3 linked regions of the Drosophila melanogaster genome follow. The protein of the gene in region 2 purifies or fractionates together with the protein of the main gene of each other region. This does not show direct contact. Each region holds a gene or a part of one and is shown on either strand. Other genes may lie near its edges. The genes, in order: Nubpl, mtDNA-helicase and Prx4.

The links.
Region 1: the proteins of mtDNA-helicase (region 2) and Nubpl purify together in Drosophila melanogaster (affinity purification with mass spectrometry, with the first as the bait; one large-scale study listed by BioGRID). This does not show direct contact.
Region 3: the proteins of mtDNA-helicase (region 2) and Prx4 purify together in Drosophila melanogaster (affinity purification with mass spectrometry, with the first as the bait; one large-scale study listed by BioGRID). This does not show direct contact.

Annotation. Positions count from the first base shown.
Region 1 is NT_033779.5:22,238,063-22,246,246, reverse strand, and holds the start of Nubpl (NUBP iron-sulfur cluster assembly factor, mitochondrial), read right to left. Parts: upstream 6,332-8,184; 5' UTR 6,316-6,331; coding exon 6,144-6,315; intron 6,094-6,143; coding exon 5,384-6,093; 3' UTR 1-5,383. UniProt on the Drosophila melanogaster protein: Iron-sulfur cluster transfer protein involved in the assembly of the mitochondrial membrane respiratory chain NADH dehydrogenase (Complex I). May deliver one or more Fe-S clusters to complex I subunits.
Region 2 is NT_033779.5:9,890,739-9,895,564, reverse strand, and holds mtDNA-helicase (mitochondrial DNA helicase), read left to right. Parts: upstream 1-2,118; 5' UTR 2,119-2,145; coding exon 2,146-2,437; intron 2,438-2,495; coding exon 2,496-2,933; intron 2,934-3,102; coding exon 3,103-4,214; 3' UTR 4,215-4,302; downstream 4,303-4,826. Other genes in the region: Bka (bekka), read right to left, coding at 1-124, 185-187; CG4537 (uncharacterized protein), read right to left, coding at 4,303-4,432, 4,492-4,655; CG34183 (uncharacterized protein), read left to right, coding at 4,825-4,826.
Region 3 is NT_037436.4:3,040,682-3,045,069, reverse strand, and holds Prx4 (peroxiredoxin 4), read right to left. Parts: upstream 2,712-4,388; 5' UTR 2,620-2,711; intron 2,521-2,619; exon of another isoform or gene 2,298-2,520; intron 2,026-2,297; 5' UTR 2,019-2,025; coding exon 1,865-2,018; intron 1,799-1,864; coding exon 1,681-1,798; intron 1,630-1,680; coding exon 1,224-1,629; intron 1,166-1,223; coding exon 1,115-1,165; 3' UTR 896-1,114; downstream 1-895. Other genes in the region: scramb2 (scramblase 2), read left to right, coding at 1-97, 201-224.

The sequences.
Region 1 (8,184 bases), about 12 Mb from region 2:
ATGCAGCATTGAAATAGCACATTATTTGGTTTTTATACACGTATACACGTTACTCGTAGAGTAAAAGGGTATCCTCGAGTCGTTAAAAAGTATGTAACAGGGGGCCAACCCAGCCCTAATCGGTACCATGGGATGAGCATCGCTCATGCGAGGTAGGCCCCCTTCTGGGAGTTTCATGGTGGCTGTGGTTGCTTAAGCTAGAAGGATCTCCTTCACCAAAGGGGGTGTGTTACCCGACAAGTGTGCAACCGAATTGGTACCTCTGAGTTTACTCGGGGGGTATATGAGTGAAAGAGTGAACGCTGTTGTCGAGTTTCTTTCTTCTTTGTGGAATACCACTTAAGAATAAACTTGAGTAGTCTAGTAATAATGATATTAATTTATCTTGGTCTGGTCCACGTAAATCAGTATCGACACTAGCGAAATCAAATTTACATTCAGAAATCAAACAGGTGAAAAGGACTTTTCACTAAATATATTTAGAGCGTTAAATGTTATTGTAACTCCCATATCTTGGCTCAATATTTTTCGTCCAATTAAGATATCTTAACTTAATCACCTAAAACTACATGGAATAAAATTTCAAATGTGTGTTCGGTTAAGGTAACATTTGCCAATATCTGAGTAGTACTACAAACGTACTGTTTCCAATGCCTCACAATACAACTACATTGATATATAATAATATAAATATTAAAAATATATAATAATATAATTCAAAAAAAATTTTTTCAATGATTTCAAAGAATTGGTATACAAAATTATTGTTATTAAAAAACCCAATGCCCATATGAAAAATCACATCGATGTCATGTTACTGGCAGTAATACCAGCTTGAATAACTCACTCGCTTTAGCGCGATCGAGGACGACGGCGACTTTTTTGAGTACGTTCCCTGCATTACTTATCGAGCGTCGGTTGGCTGAGAGGAATCTAAATATTGTCATCGATACCGCGGTGTCGGCAAAAAAAAAAGAAAAGAGAGATGGAGTGGAATTGTTGCGTTGGAAGCTCTTGGAGTTCAATAAGATACGACTGGATTTAAAGGGAGAAAGACAGTTTTTTAGGTTGCGGGATTTGCGGGTCAGCTGAGCTGAATAACTGTACAGCGACGAATGTATTTCATATGCTAGAGACATAAATATGACAGTACCAAAAAAATATGAGTTTTCATAAAAGCACTAAGGAGCATTTGAAATGTTAAAAATAGCGTTAATCAAAGGAAAAGTTCTAAAGCTTTACGATCACTTGAGACAGAGATTTATACAGATGTATGTAAGTTTGGATTAAAAGCAGTTATGCTTTAGAGAGATTTCGGGGATAAGTTGTGACATGTAAGTTTTGCGTTGACCGACATGTGAAAGGCTCAATGTAGTGAACGACGTTCTGAATGAAGATCCCAACAAAGAGCTCATAGGTAATAAAGGTGAGAATTCTAAGCTCGGAAGGAGGTTCAACAAATTCGAAAAGTACCAAAGTTAACTGTTTTAAATATGCCTACTTTGGATATTTAAGTAATTCAAGACTGTTTGATGTCTATGTAAGATAATGAGAGAAATGAGATGAGAAAAAATGCGATCAGAAAATACAAACGATATGGTCAGTAAGAGTAGAAGAAGGCATGTTTAGTACACGCACACAAACAGAAAAATAAAAACAAATGCATATAGTTGTTACGTCTGCGTATTAGTGCCCTCGCATTCAAAAAGGACTTGGGCCTATCCATCCTATGTTCAGCATCTTGGTACGGCTCTTACCTCTCCAACATTACGATTAACGAATATTAAAAGTTTCTGAAAAATATTTGTGTTAGTATCGTTCGTCATTCATCAGTCTTTAAGCTTAGCTGTTAGCGGATCGCAAATCGACCGCATTCAGAAGATTCACCGCAAAGACAACATGTTGCACTATATGGACGACATCCTCGCTTGGAGCAACTCTTTCGATGAGATGACTGGCAAAGTTTCAGTGGTTTTAAGCGCATTAAGCGAATGTGGTTTAACGTTAAACATCGACAAATGCGAATTTTATAATGAAACTCTCCTGTCTTAGCCCAGGAGAAGTAAAGACAAATGATGTAGTCGAATTTCCGAAACCAGAATTTGTTCCGAAAAAATGTCAACTTCTAATGGCAGCAGCAGCAGGAAGACTCATTAAACGAATTAAAACAGAAGCTCAGTTGTAAACCGATTCTTGTAATCTACCGCGTAGACGCGGAGCACGAACTTCATACAGACGCTAGTTCGATCGACCTGCAGCGAGATAACGACAAGCTGTTACCAATCGCATACTTCAGCCGGTCAACAACGAAGGTCGTAAGGAAAATGCACAGCTACGAACTAGAAGCTCTCGCCGTTGTAGAGGCGCTGGAAAGGTTTACATATTATGTGTATAGCAAGCGTATTAAAGTCATTAATGATTGCAGCGCATTACGTACAACATTGAGAAAACGCGAACTCATCCCAAGAACAGCCCGGTGGTGGCTACTCATCCAGGACATGTTCCACAGGAACATGTGGACGTGCTTAGTCGATCTCCATATGAACCAGCGCACGAATTGAACAACGCCGACTTAAAAATATCCAAGACCATAATCGACGAAGGAGACTGGCTATTTAGCATTCAATTTTAAGATGAGAAGATACGGAATATTGTCAAAGCGAGACTATACTACGATGCCAAACATAATCCTCCGACTATGTATAAAAAAGATTATCTCATCTTAGTGGAGAATGAGCCTGCCGCAACTGGAACGGTAAAAACGAACGATCGATATGTCATCGAAGGACTCTACGCCATTATAAGTCCGTCTACTCATCCGATAAGCTCAAACCGTGGTGTCGCCTTCCGGACGACGACGTCCAGCGAGGACGTTAATTTAAATCAGGAAGGGCCGACTGTAAGAAGATAAATACTTATTAATGTTAATGTTATTGTTAAACCTTAACGACAAGTCCAATACGATACTTATTACTTATGCTAACCGTATTGATAAGTTCAATGCCCCATGCGGGGCAACGTATATAATGATTCGAGCAATACGTGTGTTTCTTTCGAATAAACTAAGCCATCCCATGCAAGCCATCCTATAACGGAATCGCCAATTTATTTAAAAAAAAGTTTCGAATCAATGACAACGCTTACACTTTGATGAGTCTATAAAAGTGTGGGATTTAATGTGTTCCGCTTGAGATCTCGGGTCCGACTGCTCATCAATATGATTGATCTCATACGCTCTCTTGTGACTGACGATCACTTCGCGACCTTTGGCCTACTTGTCTTCTGGCTTGTTTCGGCCCTCCTGGCTGGATGTTCGTCCCGAACCCCTTCATGAACTCAGAGGATCTTTTCCAAAAAAAAACTTTCCCTTTAACTTTATACAAACTCCATACTGAGTACGTGTGTGGTCGATCACTTCCACTGTGTTGATCACATTGGCTTTTTTATATCTTATATCCTTTTGCCTGCCCAGTATCTCTTCCGTCCGGTCTTTGTACTGGATTGTAACGACGATGTCCTCTCTCGGGGCTCTTGATCAAGATCGCCATTTTTCCTTTTGTACCGGAGACTCTATAGGGTCTCCTTAAAAAAATTCAAATTATTATCGAGGTGCTGGATTCGGAATAAAGGGTAAGCGAGTGCGGGGCAAATTCAGGTTAGATACCTCTAAAACATAATTTAAATATAATTTGGACGCAGTGCCGGAATATTAACCCCTAGATCAACTGGGTCTTGCAAGAGAACAAAGTCGAAGCCGTTTGGATCACCAATAGAAAATAGAAGGACGGCGGCTGTTTTTGTGGGACCCCAGGACAGGGCCTTGAGGCCCGGGAAAGTGAAAATCATAAATTTAAATGAAATTACGGAAAACTGGCATGCATGATAAAAATCTTTAGGCCAAATTTTCGACCGCGAAGAGATTCCGTAACTAGGCAGCGATCTCGGTCCGGTCCGAAATAATGAATTAATTTGAGTTAGTGTTTTTTTATATGTGTAAGTGTAAGTGAGAGCGAGACGCCGCATTTGGTTTAGAGTGTAGTGCAGCCCAAAATTGAAGGACATCAATTAAATATTTCGTACATTAGTAAATGAAATTATAATAAAAAAAGAGAGAATACTATAGTCGAGTTCCCCGACTATCAGATACCCGTTACTCAGCAAGTGTGAGCGAACGCTCTCTTGGATCGCGATTGATATTGGGGAATAAAATGAGAACAAATTTAAAAATTGTTCCAATAAAATTAAGAAAAAGGTCGAAAAATGGTTCAAAAATTTGGGCGTGGCAGTTTTGCGCGGTTTGTGGGCGTGGCAACATGGATCAACAAACTAGCTCTGCGTCTTCGTCTCTAGAATCTCTCTAGAGGAATTTATTCCCAAAGCTAAGGTCTTGCATTGATTCTGATCCTTTCAGATATTGCTTAGCAATATTTGATTCAAGTTGAGCCCCATTTAAACGAGCAAAGTGAGAATAGAAATATTAAGAAAACTAAAAGCATGACCTCGTGTAACGTGGGATCCAGCACATTTACCACGGATGGGATTCTGAAGACAATAATTCGTTGAGTGCCTAAAAATGTGACATTTCAGACTGTAAAACTCTTTTCTGCGGCGCGCACGCTCCATAGTGACTCGATGTCTGCCTAGTTGAGTTATTTTCAGTACTTTGTCGACATTCGATCCTTGTTTTAGGTTTACGAAAAACAAGTATTGCCTTGTCTGTAGTTGATTGTCGCTTCGTTGTCTTCTTCAGAGCAGAGATCGGTTCGTTTTGGCAATCCGCTTTTCTCGGGCAATATATTTAATGATAATAATAATAAATAATAATTTAATGAATATAAAAATGAAACCCGGAATCACAATTCAGTATAGGTTGTCATCCTTAAGTTGATGATGCCAAAACTGACAATTTACCATTGATAAATGGATGGATAAAAAGCATTAGAAATGGCTGTGTATATCCAAATTTAGAGGTGCGAATACTATAGTAATTCTCACAAGCGCACGAATTCAGAGCCTGTTTGAAAGCGTGGAGATGGTTAATATCCGGGACACGTTTTGCTATAGGAGGGCATATTTAAACATGAAGATTGTATCTGTCACAGACAAGATGAGCAATCTAGATTAAAGAAGCCAGAAGAGGATTTCAGCTAGTTGGCGTTACATTTTTGAAACTACCAGCAAAAATCAATCCACAAAAAGCAGAACTAGTTTGAAACCTTCTCTTAGTCTTAGCTGTGAAGCATGACATGGTTTTGTGGTGTGTTGTTTAATGTAAATGCGGGAAACGAAACAACAGTCCCTTTCCCCTGATAACTTTATTGGTTTTAGCGGTACAGCATAACAAATGTAAGTAATAAGAATTTTTGATATACACAAATTTTTTTTAATGTGCACTGTTATTTTGATTTTGATTACATCTTTGTTCGTTAAGTATTTGTGTAATCTCCTCAGCCAATTGGGTAAATAGATAAGAGTACTTGCTGTCCGGATATTTTATTACAACAGGCACTCCACTCTCGTTGCTATCCGCTATTCGTGAGTCTAACGGAAGAGAAATTAGCTTGCGCGGTAGAGAACTTATACGGCTGTCTTTAAAAAACTCCAATCGTTGATTACAGTTCTGACAAATGGTGTACTTCATGTTCTCTACTACGCCAAAGATAGGAACATTTAACTTTTCGTACATGCTTGCACCTTTCAAGGTCACCTGAACAGCTGCAGTATGAGGTGTTGTTACCAGGATAACCCCTGTGATAGGTGCATGCTGGGATAGTGAGAGATGTACATCTCCAGTGCCCGGTGGAGTATCTATAACTAGGACATCTAGAAGCCCCCAATCAGTACCTTTTAGCAGTCGTTGTATTGCTGACATTACAAGAGGACCTCGCCAGATAACAGAGGTCTCTACAGGTGTCAGCATGCCCATAGACAAGCACTTTACATTGTAGTTTTGCGGCGGGATCATCAAATTCTTATCGTTCACAACCGGCTCACCATGGACATTCATGAGAAGTGGAATAGTAGGCCCGAAGATATCCCCGTCCAGCAATCCTACTCGCTTTCCTAGTTTTGCCAAGCTGCAGGCAAAATTAACTGTGAAAAGGACTCCAATAACCCATGAATCGAAATATGTGAGTACACACCTGCCACGGTGCTTTTTCCAACACCACCCTTTCCAGAGGCAACGACTATAATATCTTGTACTCCAATAATCGGTTGCTTTTTAGGCAATCCCCGCGCCATTAACTTCACCTGGGACCCAGTTAATTTTGTTGCGTAGGAGCGCCATATCGTGTTGATCAATAGACGCTCCATTGTTACAAAACGATAAATTTATTTTCCATCCTAAAAATAAAACTCATAGTGAAAACAGCGACGACAGCTTTATAGCCGATTCTCACACATTTCCATCATTCCTATTTTGCGAAGTCATTTTTCGATAATTCTCGATAGCTCAATTAATATTCCTAGGTATTTAGCATTTTTCTTTGGCGACTGAAGCGACCGATTGAGCAGATTAAAAAACTGGGAAAGCGAGTATTTTTACTGGACGGTATATATTTATTAATACTATTATAACCCATCTAATGAATGTCTATAGCGAGCAGTTTGTTTACGATAGGAATACCACGTTAGACCACGTTTACCACGTAATTCAAATAAACCAGTCAAAACTCAACAGTGGAACAACAGTAGTAACAGCAGTACAAGAATACTCGTAAAACGGTTTACTCTGTGAAAAGTCTCTGCCTGCCGCTGACATTTAAACTGTCACATTTTTCGGCGAACCTCGCCAAGCTTGGATGAAGAACATGTTGAGGCAAGTGGTGGAGAAGTGGTGTGGCAATTTATAAACACGCTAAAGTTAATTTTTCAAGTAATATTTCAGTTTTTTTTAGGGTCTATTTAGGGTATATCGAACGGCGGCCCGTACCGAACCGATTGAGTTAAAGTGTATCATAGCAATACCGGTGCGATCAACACTTAATTGTTAACTGAATGCAGAAGCCAAATGAGCAAGTTTCACAGAATAAAAATTAAAACCAGGTTAGCGCCCCCTGAGCAAAAATATTTGACGTGAGATATTTGGAAAACGGCTTGAGCGAGAGCTTTGGAAATTTTTTTCCCTTAAAAGTTTAACAATTCTATAAATAAAAAGTTTATATAGAATGCAGTTTGTTGTTTATAGATTTTTATTTCAATAAAAAAGAAAAACAATCCATAAATGGGTAAGTCAAAATTGCGTCATCAGTGTATAAGAGTTTGGCTGCATAACCAAACATCCTCCCCCCGTTGGTGGACTCTAGCTGACAACATCATCCTGTTTGGGTAGAACGCAAAGTTTAGCGACGGCTCTATTGAACAGCAACTCGTGCGACGCCATTGAGTCCAGGGATCAGATTTATTACTCGAGCTAGTGGCCATTTGAGGGGTGGCAGGTTTTCGTCTTTTACTAAAAGGACATTATCGATTTGAACGTCTGTCTTCTGTGCTCGCCATTTGGAACGTTGCTGAAGAAGCGTTAGATATTAACTGGTAGTAAGTGATTCGCTGCCAGCGATCCAATCGGTTGAGATTTAATTTTGTGAAATCAGGCTCAGCAAACAAGGCGAGGGGGGCAGTGCCTAAGAAGTGCACTGGCGTTAGTACTTCAAGGTCGTCAGGATGTTTTAAAAGAGGAACTAAGGGTCTTGAATAAATTGTTGCCATTGCGGCAACTATGGGTTAAAAGCCGCAAATTTTGGTATAAATGTAATTTTTTTTGTGACTGATATTTTAATGCTGCTTTCATTTTTGGATTCCTAATTTGCCCTTTTTTACGAAACATTTTATGTTGTAGGTGTGTATGAGTTTAGTCATGAAGTGCAGCTGAGTGTTTGGAGCAACAACGATGCAGACGCTGTTAACAGTTATATTTAGAAGAGAACTTTGTGCCTAAAGAGCAAAATATTACAATTTTAAGGAAAGTGAACCAATTTAGTTCTTATGTGAACAAGCACTTAAGGAAATTCAAACGAAATCATTAATTGTGGCTTCCGTCTAAAATTGTTGTCGTTATTCATAGCCAGAAATTACACTATGCAAAGCTGGTCGAAAACAGTTAACATTTGAATATGCAGAGCCTCAACCTAAAAAAATTAGCAAATTAGTACTTCTCGTACATGCTGCTTCAATTCCGAAAAA
Region 2 (4,826 bases):
GATCCTCGGCCTTCTTTCTTTTCACTCGAATCTGATCCTTAAGCCGCGCGTCTGTGGGTTTTATGATGCGTTTAAGCTGTGCATTACGTTGTTTCTTAACCTTCTGCGTTTTCTTGTGTTTTCCCTGCAAAAGAACTGAAGATGTTAGGTCGGGTTTAATTAAATATTAAAGATTTATATATACCATTGTAAGCTGTAATTCCCAAAAACTGTAAACAATATAACTTAAAAAGTGGCACACGTGTGGTAAGTATTTTGGTAAAATCAGCTGTTTGGGCTAGATCACCGAAGACAGCGATAGGCAATCGATACATCGAATTAACATATAAATATGAAAGTTTTTCATATATTAAGTATTTTATGAATGATTTAATGAAAATTAAATGGAATATCATTTATTCGGTTAAGTTAATTATTGCACATTCTTATACAATATATATCAGGCAAAAACCAAACAATTTTTCCGATACGATACTACCATGGTTGCATTCAGAGACATCGATAGTTGGCCGCCATCTTTTCACAGAATTTTTCCTTCCACGTGCGATGACGAAACTCGTTCATTTTATTTCAAGACTCGAAATGGTAAGTTGTGTGCTCTTCGTAAATAGTTTTATATCAAGTGAATTAAAGTGCTTAAATGGAAGAGTGTTATGCCTCAAATGATGAAACAGATGACGAGACTGAAGGAACAAATTCTCGACTTGGCGCTGTATTTTTCAGTGCCTCGTTATATATTTGTTCATTTAAGATGATTCGGCGATCTGATGGCATATAACTTCAAGAACTTTCTTTGGGTTTGGCAAGAATATGTTCTAAAAGTTCTGTATTTCTTGCAGTGAACAATATTGAAACCCTAAGCATTTGGATAAATCGAAATCCGGGCACTCCACGTGCATGGTGCATGTGAGACACCTCGGGACAACATGTGAGCCCGTTGAGACACCTTGGGCACTGAGCCCACTGGAGACGCCATTGTCACATTGGAGGTAAGATATTAATACTTTTGGTTGGTCTATGCTTCTCTGATGATCTTTTACACAGACCTGTACTGAGCTCATAACCGTGCAGAAAATTGTAAACTGAAACCTAATCAAATATATAAAATATTTGGAAGTACTCCTTGTACACACTGTATTGATGCCATTTTCTTTTATTTCCAGAATTTACATTCTGGTTTGAGGTTATGTATGGGTCCAGCTGCAGCAGCGAGCACATGGATTTACCGATAAAGGTAATTTATTTACACTAACATTTTTATGTTTGAATGCAATATACGTTTTACTGATGATTAACTTCAACACCTTTTGCGGTTTCCACCAGAAAGCTTCGGCTTAATGATGGTCTAAGGCGTCTGACTAAAAAGTTTCAATAAAAACTTTATTATACTTAAACTAGCATTTTACTTACCTATTTTATCTCTTGTTTCCAGATCAACTCAGAAATGTGGTTTATCGCAGGCAAATATAACTAAATGAGCTCGTTTATTCGACTGTATAAGGTAATATTTTCGAGAATTTTTTTTTTTAAATTAATAAATAAACTGATGATTACCTTAAACACCTTTTGCGGTTTCCACCAGAAAGCTTCGGCTTAAGGATGGTCTAAGGCGTCTGACTAATACAAATATATATATTTCGGCTGTCTTGAGATGATGTATTTAATATATTTTATATTTTACTTTAATTGCAGAGTGACGTTGCCTTGTGTAAAAGATCTTGATATAAAAAGAATTGGACATCTTCAAATACTAAAATAAATAAACTAATAAAATCAAATAATCACGAATTGTATATATTTTTTATTGTTATTGGGATGGTGGAAAAGAGCCGCAATTTGTTTAATCAGTTGTACAAATAAAGTATTGACCTTAGAACAAAGTTATAGATAGATAATGCTTTATAATTTGAATTTACCGTGCTTAACTAAACTGGTATTTATCGAACAATTTAGCACAATTGTAAGCGCACTTTACGAAAGTAATTTAATGAGATTTCCTAGTATTAAATAGAGCGCTTCCCAGAGCACTGAGAGAGTACAAAGATATTTGAATGATTAATAGTAGGTAAACAAATCTTCAAAATTGCGCGCCCAATTGTCATCCCTATTTTCCACCCCTCACTTTCGATATCGATAACATGGAAAATGAGACGCGCCGGTTTAATCAAACCGCTGTTGCGTATAAATAACGAAAAACAACGTGTTTGGAGAAAAAACTACGCTACCCAAGTGGTTTCCGGCTTGGAGGAGTGCTCACTAGACCCCAAGGAGTATGTGGACTTCAAGCGGCAGCTGCGGCAGCTCAACTTGCCCCACAAAGACGGACACACGTGCTTGCAGCTGGAGTGTCGCCTCTGCGATCGCAATAGGCAGCCGGTGACAAACGCCCAAAAGGGCACCGATCATGGGCTGCTGGCTTACGTAAACAAGCGGACGGGTGAGAGCACCAATTACATTTCGCAAAAAAAACCGTAGTATATTCAATTTTCCTTTAGGAGCCTTTATCTGCCCCAATTGCGACGTAAAAACCTCACTGACCAGCGCTTTATTATCCTATCAGTTGCCCAAGCCGGTTGGCTATAAGCAACCGCTGCAGAGGCAGCCGGTCTATGAATCCCGATTTCCCCACCTGGCCGTGGTTACTCCCGAGGCCTGTGCAGCTTTGGGAATCAAGGGCTTGAAGGAGGACCAACTAAATGCCATAGGAGCACAGTGGGAGCCGCAGCAACAGCTGCTCCACTTTAAGTTACGCAATGCCGCGCAAGTGGAGGTTGGCGAAAAGGTGTTATATCTGGGCGATCGACGGGAGGAGATCTTCCAGAGCAGCTCCAGCTCCGGGCTGCTGATTCACGGTGCGATGAACAAAACCAAAGCGGTTCTAGTCAGCAATCTAATTGACTTTATTGTCCTTGCCACACAGAACATTGAAACGCGTAAGTGAAAACATAGCTTTTAGGAATATTTTTCATTGGTTGCAGAATAGTGAAGAAATCCTAGGGTGATATATTTAAGATATCAATTAAAAATAATTTGGAAACCAGTTTGGCTCAGCTAGTACACATTTAAGATATAATTTAATTTAAAAATTAAATTGTCTCCTAGATTGCGTTGTATGCCTGCCCTACGAACTGAAGACTCTACCACAAGAGTGTCTGCCCGCCTTGGAACGCTTCAAAGAGCTCATCTTTTGGTTGCACTACGATGCCAGTCACAGCTGGGATGCAGCTAGAGCTTTTGCGTTAAAGTTGGACGAAAGGCGATGCCTGTTAATCCGACCTACTGAGACGGAACCTGCGCCACATTTGGCTCTGCGCCGACGACTCAATCTGCGCCACATCCTGGCCAAAGCGACACCGGTGCAGCACAAGGCCATCACAACATTCGGAGCAATGCGAAATGACATTCTCAGCGAGTTGCAAAACATCGAGAAAGTCAATGGAGTAAAGTGGAAGCGCTTTCCAGTACTGAATAAGCTGCTCAAAGGCCATCGGAGGGGAGAGTTGACAATCCTCACAGGACCCACGGGTAGTGGAAAGACAACCTTTATGAGCGAGTACTCTCTGGATCTGGCCATGCAGGGCGTAAACACGCTGTGGGGCTCTTTTGAGATCCGAAACACCCGGCTGGCGGCCACCTTGCTTCGCCAGTATGTGGGCTACCCGTTGGACGACCGGTTGCATGAGTTTAACCACTGGGCAGCGGAGTTTGAGCGTTTGCCGCTATACTTTATGACCTTCCACGGACAGCAGCCCCTTAAGCCGGTTCTGGAAGCCATCGAGCATGCGTCGTATGTGCACGATGTGATGCACGTGATCATTGACAATCTGCAATTTATGATGGGCGTGTCCACATTTCGAGGCGACAAGTTCTTTGAACAGGACTCTATTATAGCTGCCTTTCGCTCCTTTGCCACCAAGCACAATGTACACGTGACACTCGTAATGCATCCGCGCAAGGAGCGGCAGGAGGACGAGCTGACCACCAGCTCGGTTTTCGGCACAGCAAAGGCCACCCAAGAAGCGGACAACGTGTTGATCATTCAAGACAAGAGGCTGACTTCTGTGCGGGGCAAGAAGTATCTCCAAATTGCCAAGAATCGTTATTCCGGCGACCTGGGCATCATGCCACTGGAATTCGACAAAGACGGCTTGAGCTACTCAACCCAGATCCAAAATGCCAAGCGAAAACGGGAAAAGACGCCATCCGAGAACTGATTAGTAAGGCATTTGTTGTACTATAGGTTATAATTATTCTGTTGTCTATGGTTAGTTTAGTCTTAAGTGCATCCTTTGATAAACTGCATCACGTTGAGCTCTGCTTGTAGTTCTTGGTGTTCATGATCTTCTTGCCGCACATGGCGCATATGGCCTTTTTGTAGGCGCACGCCTGGCAATAGTGCGAACCCATCTGGTGCACTTTCTGTCGGCAGATTCTGGATAATTAAAAATCAGATTAAGATATGCAGATGAATTCTTGAGGAGATTTCCCTACCGGCAAGGTGGTAAAGCAGTCCCTATGGGATTGTATCGCTCGCGGGCCGAGGATAAAGCCTTGTTCTCGTTGATTTTACGTCCTCCCGCAGGAGCTGTGCTCGTTCGCCAGGGATTGGGCGCTGAAACTTTGGAGAGCTTGGCCTCGCACTTCTCGCAAACCATTTTTGTTATCAATTCAATTTGTTTTTTATTTACGTTTTGCAAAAACAGAGTGACCATTCCATTGATATTAATATCGATTGTTTGCTACCGATTGACCGCATATTTCCCAACTAAGTGTCTATCGAAGGTTGTTATCGACCATCTCAATTGCAAATTTTGGAAGCGTAAAAT
Region 3 (4,388 bases), on a different chromosome or scaffold from region 2:
GGAGCTGTTCACCGATGCGGACTACTTCAGCGTCACCTTCCCCCTGAATCTGGATGTCCGCATGAAGGCGCTCATATTCGCAGCGCTCTTTTTGATTGTGAGTATATCAGTATATCATATATATCACTGAGTGAAATAAAGCATATGCCAGTGCTATATACTCGTTTCCCTTCATTGATTTGTGTTTGTCTTAATTCCAGGACGCGGTTTACTACGAGCAGTAGGCTGTATGATGAATCGCATTCTAAAGGAACAAACGCCCAAACATTATAATCGCCGACTGCTTTTTGGTTCGACGTGTTGCATGGTCATAGCTCTAAGAACTTTTTAACCCCTTATTTGATTAACGTTTCCGGGAATCTGAACAGTGCAACGCTTTGATCGATACGGAATCTCCGCAGCAAAGGAATCTCCCGCACAACTTGGATCTGAACCGCAGTTGCACCTTCGTTATTTTATGAACCTCGGTTTTGGCATTTAAAGCTCACCACAATGAAGCACTTACTGACAAACGCACAAAACGGAAAACAGAAAGCAGACTACACACGAAGAATCCGACGAGAACGAGTGCCTTATGACGTCCTAGTTATTGTCGTCGCCCCCGTCCCGTTTCCCCAGATTTATATACCTCGACAGACCTAGCTTTGTTGTACGCATAGGTCGGAGCACAGGATAACTTAATTGCAACCATGGCGTACCTAACTAATTTACTATTACCTTTTACCTACTACATATTACATATTACATATATTTTTGTATGAAACTAATTGCAATCGAATTGTTACCCATTAGAGTGGCCTAGTGAGCCAGCTTTCAAGGCATTTTGAGATCGAAAACATCTCCTCCTTTTTGGTACCGCTCCTGTGGCGCCGCGCAATTTTCATCACCTTCACATGTACTTCATGAATTTATTTATATCTCAGTTATGCTGTAAAATAAACAAACTATGTTTTGTACAAAGCAAATGCGAAATATTCACAATCGGTGGCATTGCGGATTTGGATTTTCTGTACAGAGGACTCTAGCGATTGTTCGTTTGCATCGTGATTCAGTCGTGAACATTAGGAATGTAACTGGGCTAGGCTACTAAGGTAATGTGCATCTCTATCTGTCCCTAGTTGTTCTTGGCAAAGTACTTCGTCTTCTCCTCAGGATTGGGAACGATCTGTAAAGGTAATGGTATCAAAAAGAATTTACCTAAGGCAATGCTTCAAAAAACCTACCGTATCGGCACCTGGCCGCCAACCTGCTGGGCAAACCTCTCCATGGGTGTCCGTATACTGGAAGGCCTGAACCAGACGAATAGTCTCGTCCACAGAGCGTCCCACGGGCAAATCATTCATGGTGATCTGTCGCAGCACTCCGGTCTGATCGATAATGAAGAGACCGCGCAGCGCATGACCGCTGGACTCCAAGTAGACTCCGTAGTCCTTGCTGATCTTATGCGTTAGATCGGAGAGCAGTGGGATCTTCACGTCGCCCAGGCCGCCCTCCTTGCGCGGCGTGTTTATCCAGGCCAAGTGGGTGAAGTGCGAGTCCACGCTGACGCCAATCACCTCGGTCTTGATCTTCTTGAACTCGGCGATGCGGTCGGAGAAGGCAATGATCTCCGTTGGGCATACAAAGGTGCTAAAATGGCAATGAGAAATGCGATCATACTAAATGTAAATGTAAACTTACAAGTCCAGTGGGTAGAAGAGTAGCACCACATATTTCCCTAGATACTGGGACAATGATAGCTTCACAATCTCCTTATTAACCACGGCGGTGCCCTCGAACTGCGGAGCTGGCTTGGAAACTGGGGAAATAAGGGTAGCAGCAACTTAATAGTGATCCCTGGTTTTTTGCATCCAATGGAACTCACTGACTGCCTTGGTGTACTGCAGCTGATGGTCGCCCTTCGGCTGGTCGGGATAAACGGAGCCGCCGGCGAAGGAATAGCACGATTCATTATCTTCCGGCTTGGCAGCTCCAACGAGTGCCGCGGACAGCAGTAGGACAGATAAGTACTTGGACATGATTGGGCTGAAACGAGATCCACGTACGTATATGGCTATTGGATTCGGTTTATACGCTATTTATTACACGCGGCCTTTACAATTATTGCCGCTCTTTATATTTATAATAAATCTGTGTACAGTGGTCGCCCAACTATCTTTAATTTTGTAAATTATGTAAAGATATATAATTTTGAATGTTAATTAGGAACAAAACTAAACTTCAAAGAAAAGATACTCCTTCTATGTACTAAATCCTTGTTCCGTCCGTGTCAGCCAGTCTCTACTGTACGCACATACCCAAAATTCGAACACGCCCACAACTTGTAGCCACGCAGTCAAAAAAGTAACTATTTCAACGGGCAGAACTTCAATTGATTTTGGTGGAACGCGCTTATTGTTGCTGCGCTTCCGAAAAGATAAGCTTATCAATTTCATTCACTTCACTGCTATTATAATTTATAGTTGTCAGCGTGTAACCGATTTAAACAAATATAGTTTACAAAACTACTAAAATTCCAATGCCAATGCGATTGCCTAGCTCCGATTTGAATATTTATTTTTAGTTGCAGGGTAGTTAACTTGCTTGCATTAAGCAACAATGCAAACGCACAGCTGTTACCTTTTAAGCGCTATAATTAACTCTTTTTGTTTTAATAACAAATTGTTCTGCCGGCATTGGTGTGACCGTAATACGCAAAAATACCATACTGTCGTTCCGACACCAATGCATAGTTCAGCATTGCCAACATAAATTTCATTATGAAATATTTGAATTTTCATTTCATATTAACGCGTAACTGCAATTTTGAAAGAATATTATTTTAGAAAAAATATCTGTGCTGCATTGGCGAATCAAAAGCGATGTATGGCCATGCTATGATCTATCCAATTTTTTTTAAGTAAAAAACACTTTCTCAGTTAACTTTTACTTACGCTATAAACTTTATTAAAATATATACAGTTTGTCAAGAAACTGTTTACACACTGTGAAATAAGTTGAATTTTTGACTTTAAAGCTAAAAATAAAGGGTTTTTTGCTTAATTAAACGCAATTTTTTTATAAAATATAATTAAACAATATTTATTTTACTTATAAATCAAAAAACAAATTAAAAATATTAAATATACAAGAAAATAAACAACAAATTCCAAGTTTACACACTTTTGAGACTGTCAAGAAACTCTTTACACATTTTGTTTTCCTACTTTGTTTTGTTCTTTTTCTTAGAACGAACTCGATTTTTCCGTTATTTTTGGCTTTGCATTGCTTTTTACAACGCTTCTATTGAAATTTTGTTGACTTTGCTTGTGAAATTTTGCTGATCAAACGTGCTTAAAGCGAATTATTAAATTTAATAAAATGCCTGGAAAGAGATTAACTTTTGAAGTTACCCAATTAATAAACTATAACCACCAGTTGGGAAAATCTTTTCCAGAATTAGTATAAATGTTTCCTGTATCCCGTAAGACCGTCTACAATGTTTTAAAAGGCTCGGAAAAAGAGGGCAGGCTTGAACCTAAGAGCGGTGGTGGGCGGAAAATTAAAATTAAAAAGCGTGTAGACCGCTTTATTATGCGAATAGTGATTGCGAACCCCCGAATCTCGGTCAGATCACTTGCTCTGGATATCAGGCAAGAATGCCACCTAACTGTGTCACACGAAACTGTGCGCCAAGTCATCCTACGCCATAGGTACTCTTCAAGATTTGCAAGGAAAAACCCTTTGCTATCAGATGCCAATATGGAAAAGCGTCATTAATTCGCTGTGAGCATGATGGATCATGCGGAAGAGTACTGGGATGACGTCATATTTTGTGACGAAACAAAAATGATGCTCTTTTATAACGACGGGCCAAGCAGAGTATGGCGCAAACCGTTGAGTGCGCTAGAAAAACAAAATATCATTCCAACGATAAAATTTGGAAAAATGTCACTGATGGTTTGGGGCTGTATCACCAGCCGTGGAGTGGGAAAACTAGCCTTAATTGAGAGCACAATAACTGCCGTGCAATATCTAGAAATGTTAAAAAACAAATTTGAAGGCCAGTGCAGAAAAATTCGGTCTAGTTAGCAACAACAAGCCAAATCTTAAGTTTTACCAGGACATGATCAGAAACATAAAGAGTGCAATGTACGCACCTGGCGCCTTAATAACTGTGGTAAAGTGATCGATACGCCCCCTCAGAGTCCTGATCTGAACCCCATTGAAAATTTGTGGACCTACTTAAAGAAGAAGGTGGCAAAAAGGGACCTAAAACACAACAACAGCTTATGACTGTAATAGTCGAAGAGTGTGAAAAGATCCCGTTTGAATATGACCTGCAAAAACTTGTCCAATCCATGAAAAAAAGGCTTCAACTTGTAGCTAAAGCCAATGGGGAACATACT